3 linked regions of the Astyanax mexicanus genome follow. The protein of the gene in region 1 interacts with the protein of each later gene in a pairwise test. Links are inferred from orthologs where the notes say so. Each region holds a gene or a part of one and is shown in the gene's direction. Other genes may lie near its edges.

Region 1 (7,683 bases):
GTCTCTTATTTTTTTGTTAAAATAGTAAATTCTTTAAATTATTATTTTTTTAAATATCAATGTTTTTGCAAAATATTGTGATATTATTGTAGAGCCATATCGCACACATATATATGCTGAATTTCTTTTGCACACCAGTAAACACTGAATTAAGCTCAGGGAGCCACACAGAGCCGGGGCTTTGTGAGAGCAGGCCTGGTCTGGAGGAGGTGGAGGCGGCGGGGGTGATGGGGGTGCTGGGGGCAGTAAGCAGCTGCAGCAACAACACAATGAGGCTGAGCTCAGGCTGCAAGTAGCATCAGTACTCAGTCAGTACTCAGTAAGTACTCAATACTCATTCAGTACTCATTACTCAGTCAGTACTTATTACTCAGCCAGTACTTAGTCAGTACTCACTACTCAAACTCAATTTATACTTTTGCGTCAAACCTAAGCCATAGCCTACATGTCATCCAGCGAGAGTGGATCATCGGTTCTGCGTCGCTCTATATTTTGAAACCATGAAGGCGGGAATGTGTGGGAGGGGACTCGAAGATCGGCAGACCAATCACAGCTGCAGCTGTCTGCATGCACGACACATAGTTACATTTCCAGTGAGGTGCACGTCAAGCTACGGCAAAGGCTACGGCATAGACGCAGAAGTATAAATTAGCCTTTAGTCAGTACTCAGTCAATACTCAGTCCGTAATCAGTATTCGGTCAGTACTCAGCGCTCAGTCAGTACTCAGTCAGTATTCAGTCAGTACTCAGTACTCACTCAGTACTCAGTCAGTACACAATACTCAGTAATCACTCAGTATCAAGTACTCAGCACTCAGTCAGTATTTAGTACTCAGTACTGAGTCAGTATTTAGCATCCAGTACTCAGTCAGTATTTAGTACTCAGTATTTAGTCAGTACTCAGTTAGAATTTAGACAGTACTCAGTACTCAGTCAGTATTCAGTACCCAGTGCTCAGTACTCAGTCAGTATTTAGTACTCAGTGTTTAGTCAGTACTTAGTTAGTATTTAGACAGTACTCAGTACTCAGTCAGTATTCAATACTCAGTCCTCAGTCAGTATTTAGTACTCAGTATTTAGTCAGGACTCAGTTAGTATTTAGACAGTACTCAGTGCTCAGTCAGTATTCAGTACTCAGTGCTCAGTACTCAGTCAGTATTTAGTACTCAGTACTCGGTAGTTAGGTAGCTAAGGGAGGATGCTTCTGGGCTGTTATAGTTAACTATAGCCCGGCCTGCTCCGCTCACCTCCTCCGCGTGTTTCCTCAGCGCTTTCTCCCGCTCGTACTGCGTGATGAGCTGCTCGTTGTCCTCCTTCAGCAGCTCCAGCTCCACTTCGTGCTCCTGGTTCTCCGCGAACACCGAGTCCAGGTTCTCCAGCACGGCCACTACCAACGGCATCAGCTCCTTCACCACGTCCTCGTCGTACTTGCCGATGAGGCGCTCGAACTCGCGGTAGATGGAGCTGGCCAGGCCCGACACCCGCTCGGACATCATAGCCGCCGTGCCCGTGTCGTCCTGGTACACCACGCCGTCCTCCAGCTCCATTTTCCCGGCTTGCCTCGAGTCCCTTCGCCGCTACTGACGTGCCCTAGATTCGAAGCTCCGGGCGGGCGCAGTTAAACTCCTTCTAAAACGCCGAGAACGGCTCAAAACGGGCGGATACTGAAAGGGAAAGAGCCTGGTCTTACTTTTCCGTCCCCAGGCTTGCCTGTTTTCCCCGATTTCCCCCGTCTTTCTGCGTTCTTTCTCCGTGTTTTCCTCCGCCGTCTCCCTCTCTCTCCTCACAACGGCCGAGCTGTTGACCAGAACCAGGGAGCTGGTGACGTCACGCCCTCCTCACTATACAACACAGCACGGCGTTCACCATTCAAATGAACAGCATTGTTTGTCTCCCTGTTTCTTTATGGCTGTTTTTAGCCTCCAGACCGTGTCTAGCTTAAATTTAGCCTCTCCAGAAGACTCTTACCGGTTTAGCGGTGCTGGAGAGCTCGGTCTACGTGTCACATACAGTAGAAGCTAACCATCCATCCCTCAGCTGACTGAGTATCAGAGAGAAGTCCCGTTTTTTAAAGGAATATCACAACCATAAATAGGCCTAGCTGTTGAAGCAGCTTTGCAAACTGATTTAAATTAAATTAGTCATGCAAATTGTTTAAAATCATAACATCTTACAAACCCAAAGTAACAGAACTTTGAGAATTTGTTTAATTTAATTCTAAAACAATTGTTCCAGCTGTACAATTACACATTGTAACAGTTTTGAAAATCACTGTTACAGGTAGAGGTTGGCGATATGTCCTTAAAATAATATCACGATATTTCATGGTATTTTTGCGATAACAATACTTTTGTTATTGATATGACAAAACATTTAATTAAATAAAAATACGTCAAAAATACACTACTGCAACAAAATGAAAATTAAATTTTATCATTGCATACAATATCATATGGCACACCCCTAACTGAGATATTAAAAAAATACAACAATTTTATCAGATTTGTAGCAAGTCAATAATACTCCAGAATGTCATGATACTAATAATAATGCACTCCAAATATCTCCATATATCCAAGACGAAAATTAAATTAAAGTAATATAAATTATATGAATTTGTCTTTTGCTAAAAACAGCAGAAAATTAGGACCTTAATGTGATAATTGGGGGTGGGAGATATTTCAGACGATATTTCAGGATATAATATTGTTAGCAATATTGAAAAACATTGGTAATATTATTGCATATGATATTATATGGCACACTCTTACAGAAGCTTTGCAAATTGTAACAGATTAACTGTTAGAAACTGTAACAGCTTTCAAAACCAATGTAACAATATTGCGAATTGTTACTACCTTTCTGGATTTTACAAGCTGGAGCAGCTTTGCAAATTGATACAAATTAAAACAGTTGTAACAATTGTAACAATTATTCAAGTTCAAAAGCTGCCCTAGCTTGTAACATTCAGCTGTAACAATTTTCTAAGCTGTAACAGTGGATTTCAGACTTGTTACGATGTGTAATTATACAGCTGAAACAATTCTATTTTTTTTACTGTTACTTCTCTCCTGGATGATACAAACTGGAATAACTTTGCCTGTTGTCACAAACTAGAGCAAACTGTTAAATAATTTCTACAGGCTGTGCAGAGCATTATACATGGTAATAGATTTACAAAACAGTTACAAACTGTTTAAAAAAATTAACAGGTGTACAAATGATTGGCGTTTTTAAAAAATTTGAAAATGATTGTTACAATATTAAGAACAATGTTATGAACAGTGCCAGCTTTATAAACTGTATAAATAATAATAAATATATTACAGATTGCCACTTACTTTTTCAAATTTGCAAACAACTTTACAACTTCACTGAAAGGTATTTTATTATTTTAAAGTTATTTTTATTTTAGAGACAAAATAAAGTGCAAATTGTTTGTAAAAATGAAAAAAAAATTCTGAATTGCATCCTGGTAAGATTTACATTTTGTAGTCCAATACATCTCCAAATAGAATGAAAACTGTATTGGTGGTGGTGGGTGGAGGGGGTCGACATAATATTTTATTAATAAGCCAAACCACATTGTTTTCATATCAGGAACAAAGTATATCTGCAACAAAATTGAGAAACTAAGCGGACCTACAGTGCTACAGAGAAAGCTCGGGACACGTCAGATTTACCAGTTGCCAGATTTAATGGTTGCCAGATGTTCCTTGGAAGAGGAAGATCATAAAATGTATAAAGAACTTACAACGCCAAAGCAGAAAAGTTTAGGACAATATGGAAAATGAAAATACAAAATACTGTGTTTCTTGGATTTCCTTACTTTTTTTGTTCATTGCAAATACAGTATTTTTTTTTCTGTTCAGCTTCATTTCATTTATTAATAAACATCCATCTATGCATTTTAGGCCTTCAACATATTCAAGATATTGGGACATTAAAGTTATTTTGCAATATTGAAGTATGTTGATTTAAATCTGTAGGTGGAATGTAATAGTTTTTTTATTAATGAGTAGTTACTGTAAAGGAGACTAGTTAATTAGTAAGTAGTTAATTTGTAAGTAATTCTAGGCATAGACTACAGGAATCATGTTAAACTTTTAATTTCTAAGTACTATTAGACATACTTCTTTTATTTATTTTATTTATTTTAGATTTACCTTTTGTCCTTTATATTTTTTTTCTTATTTCTTCATTTTAATTATTTTATTTTAAAATTTTAATTAAATTTTTAGTTTATTTATTTGTTTATTTTTATTTTTTTTGTTTTTACCTTTTTATTTCTCCCTTATATTTATTTTATTTTCTGTTTGACCTTTTTTATTGATACCCTTTACCCTTTTTATAATCTTTATAAATGTTTGTCATATTATTTTTTGTTTGTGTTTGTTATTTTATTTTGCTATTGCTCTAATTATTTATCTTTATTTGACTGCTTTAAAATTTGAGCCTGTCAACTTTATTATGTCCTTTTATTCTGAATTATTTAATTTTTTCTTAATTAAATCATAATTGTTTGTTTCTTTTTCTAATGCCTTTGCCATTTCATTTTTATAGTTTGGTTATGAACCCTTTTTTTTAGAAGTTGAAAATAAAGGTTGATTGAAATAATACAGTACGTGGCGCCCCCTCTGTACACAACCTACTTACAGCTGTATTGTACAGCGTGGATATCTGGCAACCCAGTTTCAAACTCACGTTTGTTTCTAAAGAAAGGAAGTGTCGGTTTTAATGGAATCAACAGGTACCTGGATTACTTTACTCATTAAAACATTACAGTCTGGACTAATAACATGGTGCTTAAGGGAACGTTTAGCCAGGTTATTGACTGTAACACCCAGGCTGGTCAGATAAATAACCTACCTTGTTACCTTTTTGAGTTAGCTAGCAAGCAAGCTATATAAGTTATTGTCGGATTTGCTTGTTGTTAAAGAGTTTAATTTTGCATTAGCTGGCTACATTGTTAGCTAGGAGCAATGGTTAGGTCTGGGTAGAGTGAATATTGCAAAACTTTTACTAAAATAATGAGTTGGTTTGTAGCTAGTTAAACTGTGTAATCTCAGCTGCAGCAGCTGCTTCTTCTTCTTCAGGTAGTGAGGTAACAAACAGCAGAAGCAACACAGCCCCACAACTAACCAACTAACTAATAATTAAACCATTAAATATTTAGTTAAAGACACATGTCATGGTCTACAGCTGCAGATATATTCATTTTGTATGTTGTACTGTTATATACAAGCTGTCTGACTGCTCTGTCCTTGCCACCCAGTGTAGGTGTAGGACAGGGCAGGGTGGCAATGAACCTCTGCTGCCTACAGGGACGCTGGAGCTCCAGGGAAACTTCACACCATCATGGAGAATTTACACTGTGACCCAAGGGTGAGATATCTTTATACAGTAGATTTACCCTAAATTAAGACCAGTGATAAAAATACTAACTCAGATTTGTCTGGTAAAAGCTCGAATTCAAGATATTTATTATATACTGTAGTTGATAATAGTAGAAGCTCTTATTTAGGATACAATCTATGAAATGTTTACTAGTGATAAAATCAAATCAAATCAACAAGATGAAACAGCTCTGGAAAAAAAATTGACCACCTAAAATTATGAGTTTCTTTAATTTTACCAAACTGAAAACCTCTGGAATCACAAGCCATCAAACCAAGTTGAACTGCGTGTATTTTTGCACCAGGAGTGGCATAAAGTTATCCAAAAGCAGTGTGTAAGACTGGTGGAGAAAAATATGCCAAGATGCATGAAAACTGTGATTAAAAACCAGGGTTATTCCACCAAATATTGATTTCTGAACTCTTAAAACTTTATGAATATGAACTTGTTTTCTTTGCATTATTTGAGGTGTAAAAGCTCTGCATCTTTTTTGTTACTTCAGCCATTTCTCCTTTTCTGCAAATAAATGCTCTAAATAACAATACTTTTTTTGGAATTTGGGAGAAATTTATTGAAGTTTATTGAATAAAACAACTATTTTTATTTTACTCAAACAAATACCTATAAATAGCAAAATCAGAGAAACTTTTTTTTTTTCCAGAGCTGTATATCCTGTAATTCTCACTAGTTATATGCTGTAAACCCACAGTTAGATTGAACTCAAACAAATTAAGTCTGTTTTATGTAAAATTGGATAGTTCCAAATATTACTTAACTATTCAAACAGAGATCTTTGAGTTGAAGCAACTTAATAATAATTAAGTTTAGTCTCTTGCCATTGGCAGCTTCTTTTCTTTTCATTGGCTTCTGGCAGAATGTATTTGCATTCTGGGTGTCCCCCCCAGTTTCTGACACCACCCCCCAGGACCTTAGGTAAACTTGTAGATAATATATTATGATTAACTGTCAGGTTTGTGTGTTATAGGCTGTAAGAACTTTTGGAGATGCTGCCATTTTTGGAGCTGCTGACTCTGTATTAGTTGTGCACTATACTGTCCTCTCTATAGATCTGCTTCAAATTATTGTGCAAAACAATTGACATGTAATTGTCAATTGATATTGGATGTGTCAATTGATAGTTGAGCAAAAAAATAAAAATAAATGAAATGTACTTTTAAATTAGGCATAATAACAAAAAGATTTTGGTCTAATTAACTCAAGTGTTCAGTTAACATTACTTTAAGATCTTAAGTCAACCGGTTTCCTAATTAAACTTATCCAGGCTTACAATGTTTATGATTATTGATGTACACAGAGCCTCATTTTCTCTTACGTTGTGTCCACTTACAGATATCTTATTACTACTTTATAACTGGTAGAAACTGAATTTTTTCCAAATCTTGCCAAAAGTATTCACTCACCCGTGTTAATAATTAGAGCTGTGAGGTTTGGATGGAGCTGCTCAGCCATGGAAACCAATTGTTCAATGAAGCTCTCTACACTCTACTGTTCTTGAGCTGATCTGAAGGCCACAATAAATTTGGAGGTGCACTATGCTCCTCAGCATCCGCTGACCCCGCTCTGTTATTTTACACTGACAGAGCACAGAGTCACTGTCGTTCCCAGTCTTTTTCACTGTGTTATAATATCACTGACAGTTGGCTGTGGAATATTTAGTAGTGAGTAGGAGTTTGATGATTTGGATGGGTGAGCGAATACTTTTGGCAGCATAGTGTATCTACACTGTAATTCAGACAGTAAAAACAGTAAATGAGACAGTAAAAAATTTGCAAATGAATTCTGGGTAGTACGTATACTAGATATTTAAGATATCTCTAGTTTGGACATACCCGTTAACCACAGCCACTGCAAATAAATGTATTGATCTCCATTCTTTTAGGTTGAGGAGCTCTTAAACACTAAGCTGGGGAAGTACCTCAGTGAACATCCCTTCTTAGCAGTGGTGCTGCTTGTGTTCGGTGTAACATCTGCACTTCCCATTGGTCTTTTCCTGATATTTGCTGCTGTTACGTCTATTGCTGTTACAGTATCCTTCGTGTTTGTTGAAGGTACGTAAGAAGTGGAATATTGAAGTGGAGTAGGACCCCCAATGTCGCAATATAAGTACTGCTCTGATTAATATTTTAAAACAATGTAATTTGCTTTTTAACACACTTTTGATATTTCTCATTCAAATTTGGCCAAGTATATTAGTATTATTGTAGTTTTCCATGAGTCACACAGGTGTTAAATTGCTCAGTGATCAGCAAAGAGGGTCTCTTTGTA
Region 2 (7,554 bases), on another chromosome or scaffold:
TTGCATTTAGTTAAAAGCAAAGGCTAAATTCAATCTGTCTAGTCAAGTATGGTCAATGTGGTTGTCTTCGGAGCCATATGCAACAGTCTCAGGTGAACTTTTTACTAAGCCTTTAGTTTCAGCCCAGCTTCACCTTAATGTCATTAATCTAGGCCTGTCACGATAACAATATTTCAGATACGATATATCATTGCAAAAACTATATTATTGTCATTTAAAGACAATGTAAATGCCACCGATATAAAAGAATATTATTCATAATAGAATAGCATTACAAAGCAATTATATTCGTTTAAAGACAATACATTTTAGACCTGGGTCTTTCTGTGTGGAGTTAGCAAGTTCTCCCTGTGTCTGCATGGGTTTCCTCCGAGTGCTCCGGATTCCTCCCACAGTCCAAAGAGGTCACGTTCAGACTAATTGGATATCGGATAAAATTGCCCCCTAGGTGTGAGTGAATGTGTCTGTGTTTGTCTGCCCTTGTGATGGACTGGCGGCCTGTCCAGGGTGTAAACTGCCTTCTGCCCGATGCCACCTGGGATAGGCTCCAGCCCCCCGCGAATAAATCGGTTGACGATGAGTGAGTGAGTGTTCTGGACATTTAAATGGAATTTAAATCCCACATTCAGCTGTTTATACAGTTTGGAAGCGATAAAGAAAGCAAGAAACAGGAGCCGTACTTATAGAAGGCAGAGATATGGTATAGAGAAATAATTGTTGACTAATCAGAAAAATAATTGTCAGATTAGTCGACTACCAAAATAATCATTAGTTTATTCGTTTTAAAGCTGAATTTGCATATGTCCAACTAGAGCTTAACCCCACTCAGTCAATGAACTTATAAAGAGTGTTTTAGGCCATACTGCTTCTTTAATCAGCTGCACTACAACAAAGCCAATCACATCAAACCTTGTTTACATGAATCAATTAATCAATTACAGGATACAGGTGTAGATGAAACAAAACCCTTTTTCTCTGCAGTAAAATAACATTTACATTCTGAGAATTTGAGGGCTTTGAAAATCACCTACAGGACACTTAGAGAAGCTGCCTGTTTTTTCTCTACTTTAGTTAATCAATTCAGAGAAGTGACAGTAAATAAACCTCAATTTTAGAAATAGACGTTAAAACTAGATAACCACAACGAAACTAAAAGGTTTGGAGACCATGATATTATTGATTTGCATTCAGGAAAATTTTACTCATTATACTGACAGGTTTTTAATTATTTCTATTACAATTAAAATAAAAATGTTGTAGTAACGTTTATTATCAAACATGAAACCTTTTTATGTAATGCTTCAATATAAGTCTTCAAGATTTAGGTGTGTAATATCAGGCAAAAAATTTATAAAAATCCTGGCCTGTTAAGGAGTTAACTAAACTAGGGTAGGTAAGTATATTGAACCTACACCACGAAAGTTGTGTTTCTTAAAGAAATAACGTTAACTACATTTAAGACAGCGCTCAAATTTTACATAAGATACAACAACCCAAACTCTTCTAGTGCTGATTACAATGCAGATATACATATAACGTTAGATAGGCAGACAGACAGTTATAGCTCAACATTTGTGTGTAAAAATGTGTAAATATTAGCTAGTTAGCTCTGTGCTAGCTCAGGGACTGTGGGTAGTGAGGCGAAGCTAACCAGCAGCAGAAGCTCAGCCGCTTGTTTTGCTAACGCTAATCGCTTCACTCAATAATAAGACAAACTCAAACGAAGCTAACTATCTGTCTAATATGACATTTTAACAACAGAAGAAAGCACTAACACCTGCCCACAATACTCACAATAAGAAGCTCATCCTCTTGTGTTAATGTTCTGCAGGCGGGGAGACTTCAGGCAGCTCCCAGCTCAGCTGCTGCTTCTTCTTCTTTAGGGGGTTTTATGGCAGCAGGCTGGTCTGGAGCGCCGCAGCTCCGCGGATCTACAAGCCATCTGCCCAGCCTGGGTGTGTGTCAAATCATTCACAGTGCGCCCTCGATCACTTCCCCTTAAAACAAGGCATTTATAAGATACGTTACCAAAGTGCTGTGCCTATACATGGGCCTATAGTGCTTTTCTCCCTCCCCAAAACACATTTTCTAAAAGCCATAATGATTATAATGTTATATTAAAATGTCACTGTTGATAAATTTGGGATGCACGGTATCTTGTTTTAGCTGCATATATTCTTGTATATTAAAGATGCTAATATATGCAAATATATTAAAGATGCTCAGTTGGGACATTTTGCTCGAGTTCTCTGTAAGGATCATCTTCATATGGCTACATACATCTGCTTTGTTCTTGCTGGAATGTGATGTTAAATGTTCAGATGTGATGGATCCATAAACCAATAGGGTAATGAAATGGTATATGTTTATACTTCTCATCCAACCACAATCAAATTCACAATCAAATTCTCTGCGGCTCCGATCATTGTGGCAGCGGGCTAAGCTGGTCGATCGCTAGTTCAGATTCCTTTATGTAGCTTATCATCAGCTGCCTGATCCCTGAGGGGGCACAGTTGGCCTTGCGCTCTCTATGGGTGGGTAGATGGCGCTCTCTCCCCATCACTCCAAAGGGTGACGTCACTCAGCACAAGGTGTCCGTGAGCTGATGTAAAAGAATCGCTGCACTAACCTCTGAGCATACTGGCTACTCGGCAAAACTGCATTAGCAGCAGTTCAAAAAGAGGCGGTTGTTCAGAGGAGGCATGTGGAGTTTGGAGGAGGCATGTGCTAGTCCTCATCCTCCTGGTGTTGGGGCATTACTAGTAATGGGAGAGTCCTAATGAGGGGGTTGGGTAATTGGCCTTGTACATTGGGGATTGGGGATTGTATGTAGAGATTTTTTTTGAACGAAAAAAGAGAAGCCAGAATTAAAACAAGCTGAAATGAAATAAAAGTAACAAGGCTACTTTTAAAATGTAAGTAGTAGAAAGTACAGATAATTGTGTGAAAATAAGGAGCAGAAGTAAAAAGTTATCTGAAAAAATATATAAAGTATAGATAAACAACATTTCTACTTAAGTAAGGTAAAAAAAGTATTTGTACTTGAAAACACCCCTGTTGCTGTTAAATAACCTGCTGATCAATCAAACACCATCAAATGAAAAGTTAAGCAGTTCTTACTTACTTCTTTTCTTACACCCAAACAGTAGTTCACTACATAGGGCATAAGGGATCGATTTAAGATATACCTAGTCCATTTTCGCTCTAAATCATGGGTTCAACTCTCTGTTTTCTACTAGATTGGGGCCTAGGGGGCGAATTCAAATACACACAGAACCTCTTAGGATGGTATACAGATTACTTGTGAGTCTATGGTAATGACAGTTCTATAAAACTATAAATTGTGCATGGGGAGTGTGCATCTGCACACACTTGTGCAGACACTGTCACAAATACATACTAAATTATTAACAAATACTAGTATTTATTATTATATAACATCACATAGACCCGTTTTGTTTCTGGGATTAGCAATTTAAATTAAAAAGGATTTTTTTTATACTTTATGTAATGAAATGCACAAATGAGTCAGTGTTCTTTAAGTAATGATTATTTTCTCTATATACTTACTGTAGATAAGATAAGAAAAATCTAAGATAAGAAAGATAGGAAAATTTAACTTGATATGATAAAATATCTATATATTGTCCAGCTTTAGTCCCATTTAGGCCCTATGTGCATTTGTAGTGTACAATCTACATGGAGGCAACCTATACCCAGGGAAACAGTACCATTCAAATGTGTGGAAACACCTTCTCATTGAATGTTTTTATTTTGTAAACTGTAAATGAATACTCAATCAACCAAACTATAAAGGAACACAGAAGAAATCATAAAAGTAAAGTGTTAAACAAACCAAAATGCTCTGTGACGCTATTAACTTGCAGCTTCTGAGACTGGTAACTCTGATGAACTTATCCTGTGCAACAGAAGTAACTCCTGGTCTTCCTTTCCTAGGGTGGTCCTGATGAGAGCCAGTTTCATCATAACATTTTGATGGCCTTTGTGACTGCATTAAAGGATACTTACAAAGTTCTTAAAATATTTCGAATTGACTGACCATTTCTTTTTTTTTCGTTACTTGAGTTGAGTAGTTTTTCAACGCACACAAACTTTACCTCTTCACAACACAACTGATGCTCTCCAATACATTACGAGGACAAGAAATTCAGGTAATTAACTCAGCACATCTGTTAACTGAAAACTATTCCAGGTGACTCCTAAAAAATAAAAACACTAAATTTAACTTTAATTTCACTGGCACTGTGTTATCTGGGTGGTGTTTGTTTGTTTATTTATTTATTTAGAACTTCATTACAAATATTAAAGAATTGTAAAATATTTTTTTGAAATTTGTCAATGTTTGAGATTGGTAAAAGTTAAAATGGTAAGTTCAGTAATTTATATTTAATTTGTGCTGAATTAAAACTAACATAAAACAAAGAAACAGAGCAGGTTTTACAACAGACTGCGCAAATGAGGTGGACCCTGAAGCCCGTGAAACAAATGACGTTGCAAAGCGACGTATCATAGACTCCGCCCCCACTGCAACGCAACCGAGGGAACCTCCGAGATAAGCGGCCAGACAATGGACCACTAAAATACACCGATACAACAGTTAAACTGGGGCTGTAGCTGCTCTGCTAGAGACAGAACCGGGTCAGAATTACAGCGGCGGACACGGCGGAGGGCGGAGGGCTCTGTGGCGGGGAAGTTGTGGGTTCGGTTCGGCTGTGTGTGTTGGTGTCTGTGTGATGATGATAAAGCAGGACGGGGGCAGATAGACAGATAAACAGCTCGGTATTCCTCACTTTTCCTTCCTCTGGATCTTCACCACCGGCTCCGGAGGCTCGTTAACGGACTGCCCGGCTCGCTGGCCCTCTCCCGGACCTGTCACTGGAGCTGTCCGCTACTTTAACTCGAGCCGCACCGGAGAAGGCAGGCATTGTGCGCGGCTGATCTGTGGCGGTGTGAATAATTAAGCAGTAAGATGAGCTCAGAGGAGGCCACAGCTCCCCCCAAAGCAGCAGCAGCAGCAGCCGCCGACGAGGATGGCATGTCCTGGTGGTACCGGTGGATCTGCAAAACCGCAGCTGTGCTGGGTGGCCTCGGTATGTGTGCTTCTTCTGACTTTTTTAAAAATCATATTACTAAAATATATATATATATATATATATATATATATATATATATATATATATATATATTTACAGCTCTGGAAAAAAATAAGAGACCAATTGCAAATGATGAGTTTCTTTGATTTTACCCATTTAAAATCCTCTGAAATTTAATCAAGCTGAAGATGGATGATTACAAGCCATCAAACCAAGCTGAACTGCTTAAATGTTTGCACCAGGAGTGGCATAAAGTTATCCAAAAGCAGTGTGTAAGACTGGTGGAGGAGAACGTGCCAAGATGCATAAAAACTGTGATTAGAAACCAGGGTTATTTCACCAAATATTAGTTTCTGAACTTTATGAATATTAACTTGTTTTCTTTGGATTATTTGAGGTCTGAAAGCTCTGCATCTTTTTTGTTATTTCAGCCATTTCTCATTTTCAGCAAATAAAATTGCCTGAAGGCTCACACGCTTGCCACACACGATTGTGTTAGCATTTGTTTTATCATATTTGTGACAGAAATATTGAACATTGGTGAAATGTGTGGCTTTTTAGGACACAACAGTTGTAACAGTTATGGTTACCCATAATTCGGCACATGTACAGTGCTAATTAAAACAAATATATTTGCAAAAATAATTCCTTTTTTATGTAGAAAAGAAGTGTTTCTGTGACGTTTGAGTGTGAGGTCACCAAAAAAGCTTCATTAGACAGATATAGACATAATCCCAAAAACATCTGCAATGTTGTCGCAGGTTCACACTACACAATTTTAGCCCAACCAACAATTTTTAATTGATCACTAAAAAATCGGTGATCACTCGGCGTTGCTCATCCTGTTGTGTGAACTATTGAAAGACGCTCACCAAGCCTGATCTCCGACCAGCCGCAGGTGCTCGGCAGATTTTAGGCATGCTAAATATCTGACCCAGTCGGCGACTGGGAGTCAGGAGCAGTGGCTACCCACAGCCAATGGGATCACAGAAAAAGAGAACCACAGGTTCAAAACACATCTTCTGCATGGCCAGAGCTGTTTATGGAAAGTCAGACCACTTTCTGTTTCCCTATAATATCAGTAAAATACTGTTAAAAAATAGACGGAGCTTGCGAGTGAGTCTTCTATTCATGGGGGTGAATTCTAAAAGCTAAATATTTTAATTAAAAATAGTGATTTACTGCTAAATACTAGTCTGAGTAAAGCAAAAAATGCATGCCTGTAGACTTCCATTTTTCTACAGCAAACGTAGTTTAGTCAGTAAAGACCCTAGCATTACTGCAATGAGCTAATTGGTTGTTTAGCTAGAGCACTGAGTTTAAAAAGCTTAGAACCGGAGTTTAAAACCTTAAAAAATGGTGTCCATGGTACTGAAACATTTGATATAGTTCTGTTTTGAGGACATAAGTACATATTTCAGGATAAAAATGCCCAAACATTTATAAACTCAGTCACATTTATTTTACTCAGTTGCTTTATAGGAACCCCTTCATGTTGGATGCATTGCGATTATTTTTTTACGGTTATTTTCCTCTATGGAAATTCTCTTTTTTGGAATCTTTAGTTTTGATGTGCGTTTAGTTCTGGCATGTTCTTATGATAAATGTGTTTCTGTAAGGTGAGTCTGCGATTTTCCACAATAAGAAATCTTGTATTTTGTAAAAAAATTTTACTGTAAAAACTGAAGCACTCATAATTACAGCACAACCAGTCACGTGTGAAGAACAAAACGAATGACAACTTAAAAAATCGTGTAGTGTGAATCTAGCTGAATCTAGGTGGAGTCAGACCCAACTACTCATTTTATAGGCCCGCCCCTTCTCCCAGAACAAATTTCAAACCGCCTATGTTGAGTTTATACTGCAGCCCAAAAGAGAAGGAAAGCAGTCAGCGTTTTTTTTACTGATTGGGTGAGGCGTGTGCAGAATTTTGTGGAAACTAATGCTAAGACAGTTAATATTGTGTTAAGATTTAATTTTGGCGTATTTGTTACTGAAATAAGAAAATTGGTGAAATGTGTGTCTTCAAGAAAGTACACATTTGAGTTCAGGCTTGTTTACAATGTGCCATTGCTGTAGGTGACACCAACTGTATATCATATGAATGCATTGGTTCCATTTCATTCCGTACTGTAGAAATTAACTTGAAATGAGAAATGAATTTCTTCGCCACTATGCCATAGAAGGCTGTTCCAAAGTTAAGTATCCTCTGAGAAATATACAGCCGAAAAATGCAGCCGACGTTCAGAGGTCGCAGCTGTCCTTTCCAGCTCCTGGTTATTCAAAAAGTCTCTGCGCATGTACAGTGCGAGTCAATCTTTATCTAAAAAAGGTGTGTAAATTGTAAATAGCACAGCTTCTGGATTTTTCCAGTGCTTTTGAAAAGAAACCGTAGCACCTGAGGGGTTTGATTTGTATGATTATGAAATTACTAAAATTA
Region 3 (7,313 bases), on another chromosome or scaffold:
ATAATCAAGTCATAGCAATGATATAACTTCCTGAAGGAAATGTATGATGGATGTATGATGGACCCCGATCGCTAAGATCATTACGGTATTGTTAGGTGGTTGTTATTCTATCCCAGGTGGTTGCTTTGTTGTTACTAACTGGTTGCTAAAGTGATGCAGAAGTCTTTTTTGTGTGGTGGTTGCTATGGTGTTCTTTTAGATTTTCTGCCCTGGGGCTTTTAATTTGAAACCAAAAATGGATAAATAGCCTATCGGCTAACTATTGAATTTGTTGTGATTGTACTGGATCTTTTTTGGAGTTACTGCTTTTTCTTTATTTGTGAGAGAGAAAGAGGCCATGTCTCCACTGTTTTACTCCCAGTATCCCATAATTCACAGTGACAGGGCAATAACTTGGGATTTGATCTGACAAAAAGACAACGCAAGACCCTAAAACACAGTGGCTCTCAAGTGGAGTGGGAGTGTGTTTGAGGATAGAGAGTCAAACATACAGATTTATACAAAGAAGGTTATGGTTAAATTGTTGTGTTACTGTGAATAATCAAAATATATAAGATAAGAAAGATAAAATGTATTATTTCCACATTTTACACAAAATGAATGTACAATTGTTACATTTTTGGTAAACAAAAAAAAATCTCTCAGAACATTACAATAACTGATGTGGTGCACTACTAGGGCCAGATAAAATCTTTTTTTTAGCAAATTTGGTGATTTAATTTTCTGTTTTTTTCATCACATTTAGGATTTTTACTATTTGAATAGTGTTGTCAGGCAATTAAAATAATGAATCCAAGTACTGTGGTTGCTAAGGTGTTGCTACATTGATGCAAAGGAGTTGCTATGGTATCTGTGGTGATTTCTAGGGTGCTGTTAGGTGGTTGCTATGTGGTTGCTACATGGTTGCTAAGTGGTTGGTAGGTGTTTTGCTATGGTGCTATGGTGCTATGGTGCTAAGGAGTTGCTATGGTATCTGTGATGATTTCCAGGGTGCTGTTAGGTGATTCCTAGGTGGTTGCTACATGGTTACTAAGTGGTTGGTAGTCTTGCTATGGTGTTGATAAGTGTCCATGGTGATTGCTGTGGTGTTGCTAGGTGATTGCCAAGGTGTTGTTAAGTGGTGGATGATGAATGCATAGCTAACATGGCTCATATGATCGTTAAGATTGTTAAGGTGTTGTAAGGTGGTTGCTGTGGTATCCCCAGTGGTTGATATGTTGTTGCTAACTGGTTGCTAAGGTAATGTAATGAAATTTGTGATGGTTGCTATGAGGTTGCTAAATGGTTGTTAGGTGGCTGTTAAGGAGTTGCTATGGTATCAGTGGTGATTGCTACGGTGTTGCTAGGAGGTTGCTAGGGTGTTGATTAGTGGTTGCTACATGGTTGCTAAAGACTTGCTTTGGTATCTGTGGTGATTGCTAGGGTGCTGTTAGGTGGCTGCTATATGGTTGCTGGTTAAATTGTTGTTTTACTGTGAATAATAATTTTTTATAGAAGATTTTCCACAAGATTATTGTATAATTGTTCATTTATTGTAAAATTTTAGAGCTAAAAAAAGAAAATAAAGGAGCAGAATGCAAAGCTTTGGGCACATGAGAGATTTGAGCTCTCAGGCTACTTTTACTGAAAGGCTTAATTAGCTGGCTAGGGCTGTGGCTTGTTCACAGGTGATGTCAATTACAACAATCAGCAGCCATGAGCTCCTCTAAGTAGCTGCAACTCTCCAGCACTAAGAACATACCCTATAAGGCTAAGAACAAATTCTTGGCTATTCCTAAGAGCTTGGGTTTGGAATGGTTTTAAGGGTGCATTAAAAAAAGGACGCAGCTGATGTATCCTTTCTTGCAGCCTTTGGTTATGCACAGTTCTCCGCACATATGCACTGCAATGCAAAGGGAAAAATGGCTGTTCTGTGTGTGTACTGTGTGGCTCTGACACACAGCCTAGCAAAGCTATTTTTAAGTAGTCGTTTCCTAAGTTTTAAGTTAAGGCCTGGAGGAAGACTTCAGGAAGATTGATCAGGCTCTGGACTATGATCACCAAAATGTCATAAAAAAAAAGGCTTTACTGTGTCTTCATCACTACAAAGTTCAGCACCTGAGGTTCTTAAAGGAGCATCTAAACAAGCCTGATGAATTTTGGAAGCAACTGGAAGAAGGTAAAACATCTAACTTTTAACATTCTGCAAAACATGGGTGCAAAAAGTGTGTTCTAACAAAGCTTTTATGTAAAAAAAATAAAAACAGTTATGTTTCATGTTACTTACCAATAATGTTAAATGTTACATATTAAATTTACAATATCCATGCCTGGAAATATCGTAATAATATCGTAATACAATTTAAAATACCCCTAAAATAGATCATACCTTGTTATCTCTTGCTTCACTAATATTTTTAGTCACCTGGCTTGCTTCTTCATTAACATTGTAACTGTCACTAAATAAAAGTAGATGCTACCTAGCTTTTTTACATATACTTGCTAATTGCCATCAGTAAATTTACAATTCCACTTTAAATACTGCTGTCCTGACAGACAAGCTTTTGGCTTGTAGGCACTTTGAAATAAACATCTTTGGCTTTTAAGGTGGAACAGATCATGCAAATAAGAATCCAGGTTTAGGTTTATATGGACTGTTTGTCATTTCTGCACATAATGTAAGCAGAAATGTATAAAAAAAGTCTTAAAGTATATAAAACATATACTACAGGTCAATATCATGCATGCACCATTTTAAGGTGGAAGGGAAATATATTTTAAGGTGGAAAGGACAATGTGAATAATATATTGAAACTGAGTGTTGCTCCCATATATGAGTACTTCTACAGTTAATTCAGATAACCATGCAGTGAATCTCAATACACTGATGTTTAAACATAACAGTTAATGTTCAGATTCTTTTACATTTTATTATTTAGATTGTTTTGTGTGGGCTATGCCTTTAATGTAGCAATGTACTGTGTAGTGGTATGTGCTTAAAAAGCTGTTGATTTTGCTGTATAATATATATTCTTTAGGACCCCTGACTTTAATAACATTGCATTACATTACATTTAGCGGACTCTTTATCCAAAGCGACTTACAAATAATGATGTACATTTAGCAACAGATGACATAGAAGTTCAATACAAACAAAACATTTTAGGCAGGGCCTAAAGGAGGCCAAATGGAAATAGAGGGGTATAGGAGGAAAGGAGGGAAGGAAGGAAACTGGTTTTCCTTTATATAGTGAAGAAAAACCTGACCCCAATTATCATTATCATATATATCATAAATAGTATATCATGCATATATACAGCTCTGGAAAATAAGAGACCATTTAAAAATGATGAGGTTCTTTGATTTTACCAATTGAAAACCTCTGGAAAATAAAGAGGAAGATGGATGATCACAAGCCATCAAACTTAGCTGAACTGCTTGAATTTTTGCACCAGGAGTGGTATAAAGTTATCTAAAAGCAGTGTAAGACTGGTGAAGGAGAACATGCCACAATGCATTAAAAACGGTGACTAAAAAAACAGGGTTATTCCACCAAATATTGATTTCTGAACTCTTAAAACTTTATGAATATGAGCTTGGTTTTTTTTTGCATTATTTGAGGTCTGAAAGCTCTGCATCTTTTTTTGTTATTTCAGCCATTTCTCATTTTCTGCAAATAAAAGCTCTGAATGATAATATTTTTATTTGTAATTTAGGAGGAATGTTGTTCGTAGATTAGAGAATAAGAGGTCTCTTCATTTTTTTTCCAAAGCTGTATATATACATATATATTGCAATGCACACTCTTAGATGTTGCTCTCCCACCATTTATTTCCTTAAAGGGCTTTTTTTTAGGCTTTCTGCGCATTATTCACGCAGCTGCAGAGAAATACCCGCATATCTGTAGACGCAAAACCAGCAGAGCTCTGCTTTCACCAGCATAACAGAGAGAGAGGATTTGGGTTCCACCCTAACCCTCTACCCCCCAACCCCACCCCCCTACTCAACGCCCCCCATCCAGCCCCCCATCCCACCAACCTACTTGCCTACCCACCCCAAAATTATATACACACACATGCACACATATTTATATATTTATGTACTTTGACCATCTTGAGCTAAAATTGCGCACAGGCGCGAGCTAAGCCGTGCGCCACGAGGGCTCCAGGAGGGGCCAGGAACTGTCACGCACGACTCGGGGACGCAGAGCGGGTCGTCACGAGAAGTGAATCATGCTGGAATTTGTGTGCGTGGGTGTGGGGGGTGGGGGGAGAAGTGGGAGGGTAGGTACGGGGTTCTAACATTAGTGCACCGTTAGTGCGTCCTACTTTTTTCCCTCCACGCACGCTGGATTATGATGCGACCTGCAAAAAAATAAATTAAGCAAAGCCTTAATCCGGCTCGCGGGCGCGCAAACTCGCACTCTCTCCCGCTCTCTCTCTTTCTCCCCACCTCCCCGCACAGCTCGTGCGCGCTCGTGCAAGGGTCTCTCCGGCAGCACCTCTCTGGAAGCATGCAGTGACCGGAGAGCTGCGCAGCTCCACCGTCGCGTGCGCGAGAGGCGGCGGCGTGCATGCGCTGCGTAATAAAAAAGGCAAGGCGAGAAAGGGCGCACCGGTGGCGCGTGTGGACTTTTATTGCGCAGCGCCGGGATTGGGAAAAAGAAAAGCACGCTCACTTCGCTTCTGTGCGTCAGATTTGTTTTGCATGCACGCGCGCTCGCGTACGCAGCTGCGCTTTTTACAGCAGCAACAGCATCAGCAACACCAGCATCCAACATCCAGCGAGGACCTGAGCGGAGCTTCCCGCGCCGTTCCCCCCTTTTCTCCCCTCCTCTCCCCCTTTATTTGTCCTCTTCCCTCCCTCCATCACCCCTGGATGGGCTCGGTTTATCTTTCCTAGCCGCAGACAGCGTCGTTTTCGCGCCATGGCTTCGCACGGCTTTTGGTCTCTGGGCGCCCAGAACGCGGGAGACAACAACAGCGGCTCGAGCACGCGTGAGTACAGCGGAGGCTAATTTTTAGCTAATGATTTATAACAAAAAAATAAAAATATATATAATAAGGATCCAAAACAGGAAGCATAAAGGCTTAAAATGCTTAAAACAGCGCTAAAGCGTTTATTTCGTGTTTTATTCGTTTTTTAAGGTGTTTAAATTGTTTAAAGAGTTTTTAAATACGTCCCTTATTTTTTCGACCAGAAATAACGTTAGTTACTACGTTTCTTACAATCTAAAATTCAGATTTTAATATTTTTGTATCTATTTTTCTCGTTCGCTTTAGCTCGGGCTTGGTGCCAAGCGGCGGCCCAAAAATTCGGAGGAGGCATCGGCTCGAAATTATGTGGTAAGATCATTTATTTATCACCAAAAAGAGGCGCTAATCTTTATTATAAGACTATATAAAATAGTAGTGACATTTTTATTGTGGTTCTTATATATATTTAGTGTATTTATAGGCCTACATCACAAATTTAAATATTTATATATCAAATTGTGAAGAAAAAAAAGTATATAAAATAAAATAATATAATGTAACGTTAATTTGAAGCGCTGCTGAATGTCGGGGAGATGGAGAAGGGCGCAGACCCCTCTGCAGCTAAACAGGGAGAAGACCCTCTGGCGGAGAGCTGCAGCTGCAGTGATAAACCATGCATCTGCTCCAAAGCCACGGTGGGCTTCTCTCACCTCTATTCAACAGGTAAACATTATTCTGGGATGTATTATTATTTTCCTTTTTCTTTTTCGTTTTTTGGATGCAGCCGGATTAGCCAAGCTAACCTACACATCACGCAAGGTCATGGCCATATCTAGCGAAATTATTATTAAGCTTTATGTATAGTGCAACATTTGTCTGTTTTAATGTATATTTATTTGGGGGTTTTATTTTGTATTTATTTCTGTGTTTATGTGTGTATTTATTATTTACTAATTTCCCCGTCATTTTCTGTAAAAAGTGCCTGTTTTTCCTTTGAAAAAAAAAAACAAGAATATATTTATATTTTCTATATATATGTATTTATATATATTCTAAAAAGGAAGTCAACATTATATACACAGAACGTAGCATACATCTTAAAGTACAGTGCATGTGTGTATGTGTGTGCTCTCGCGTGCGTGTCTGTGTGTGTGTGTGTGAATGCGCGCGTGTGTGTGCGTGTCTGCGTGCGTGCGGGTGTGTGTCTAGAAATAGATATGTATTAATAATAATGTATAATAATGTATAAAGCCTACCAACTAAATGCATGCATGTGTGTTTTATTTTTTTTCATTCGCGTTATAATGGGGCTCCTGTTGTTTAAATGTTTCATTTATTTATGCATTTGTTTTATATTTATGTCTTACTGGTAATTATTAATGATTAACGATCATTAATACGTGATTAGATGTACAGTTTAAGAAAGAAAATGATTGTAAATTATATGTTTTTTTTTTTAACTGATATGAGATTTTTTGGGTTTGTTTTTTATAAATCCTGATGATTTGGGATTTTTTGGTAAAGCATTATTCATTTATTTGACTTATTTGATTTATTTAAAACCAAAACTGATTTTGCTAAAACTGAGATTGCCGTTTATCATTAATTCAACACATTTCGCCGATGTTCTTTTCTGATGGTATTTATTATCATATAATAATCGTTATAATAATCTGGGTTCGGTACAGACCTGCTCCCCGCGCTGGACGGCGATATGAAGACGATGAATTTCCTGCAGGAGGTGGTGGATATATTGCTGGCCTACATCGTGGAGTCTTTCGATCGATCCACCAAGGTGATCGATTTCCACTATCCGAACGAGCTGCTCCAGCGGAACAACTGGGAGCTCTCGGACGAACCGGAAACCCTGGATGATATTCTGATCAGCTGCCGAGCCACCTTAAAATACGCCATTAAAACCGGTAGGAGAAATGCTGGAAGCCCTTTTTATATTTTATATACTGTATATATATATATATATATCGTATAGCCTATTTGTAGAATTATTGATTTATATTATTCCTTTCAGAGCTGAATTATGTTCCAGTGATTCATACTAAAATATAGATTATTTGTATTTTTGTTAATTGCAGTGTAATCATTTGTGTAGCATTCTCGTTTGTATTTCATATAAATTTTATTTAGCTTTTTTTTTATTCAAAAATCATCCCAAAGCGGTAAAAAGAACTCAACATGATTATTTGATTTTGTGCAATGCAGTGGGCGGGGCTAAGCTGCTGTTTGATTGGCTGATAAATGTTAATTCTGTTGGACAACAGGCCTCAGTGTGTAATAAGTGCAAAAATACACAAGAAATAAGAAAACCGATTTTCTCAATTGCAATGGACGCAAGGTCTG

The links.
Region 2: the proteins of lipid droplet assembly factor 1-A (region 1) and cacfd1 interact in binary tests that used the Homo sapiens proteins (3 or more experiments, as listed by UniProt). The two-hybrid records come from large-scale screens. The link is inferred for Astyanax mexicanus from reciprocal best matches to the Homo sapiens genes LDAF1 and CACFD1.
Region 3: the proteins of lipid droplet assembly factor 1-A (region 1) and gad2 interact in binary tests that used the Homo sapiens proteins (3 or more experiments, as listed by UniProt). The two-hybrid records come from large-scale screens. The link is inferred for Astyanax mexicanus from reciprocal best matches to the Homo sapiens genes LDAF1 and GAD2.

The regions. Positions count from the first base shown.
Region 1 is NC_064426.1:28,065,604-28,073,286, forward strand, and holds the start of lipid droplet assembly factor 1-A, read left to right. Parts: upstream 1-4,646; 5' UTR 4,647-4,750; intron 4,751-5,275; 5' UTR 5,276-5,358; coding exon 5,359-5,385; intron 5,386-7,297; coding exon 7,298-7,466; intron 7,467-7,683. Other genes in the region: spag9a (sperm associated antigen 9a), read right to left, coding at 1,248-1,547. UniProt on the Homo sapiens protein: Plays an important role in the formation of lipid droplets (LD) which are storage organelles at the center of lipid and energy homeostasis. In association with BSCL2/seipin, defines the sites of LD formation in the endoplasmic reticulum.
Region 2 is NC_064424.1:25,766,782-25,774,335, forward strand, and holds the start of cacfd1 (calcium channel flower homolog), read left to right. Parts: upstream 1-4,524; 5' UTR 4,525-4,990; coding exon 4,991-5,111; intron 5,112-7,554. Other genes in the region: mob1bb (MOB kinase activator 1Bb), read right to left, coding at 1,795-1,808. UniProt on the Homo sapiens protein: Transmembrane protein which mediates synaptic endocytosis and fitness-based cell culling.
Region 3 is NC_064413.1:51,300,825-51,308,137, reverse strand, and holds the start of gad2 (glutamate decarboxylase 2), read left to right. Parts: upstream 1-4,283; 5' UTR 4,284-4,906; coding exon 4,907-4,976; intron 4,977-5,261; coding exon 5,262-5,324; intron 5,325-5,528; coding exon 5,529-5,678; intron 5,679-6,643; coding exon 6,644-6,877; intron 6,878-7,313. UniProt on the Homo sapiens protein: Catalyzes the production of GABA.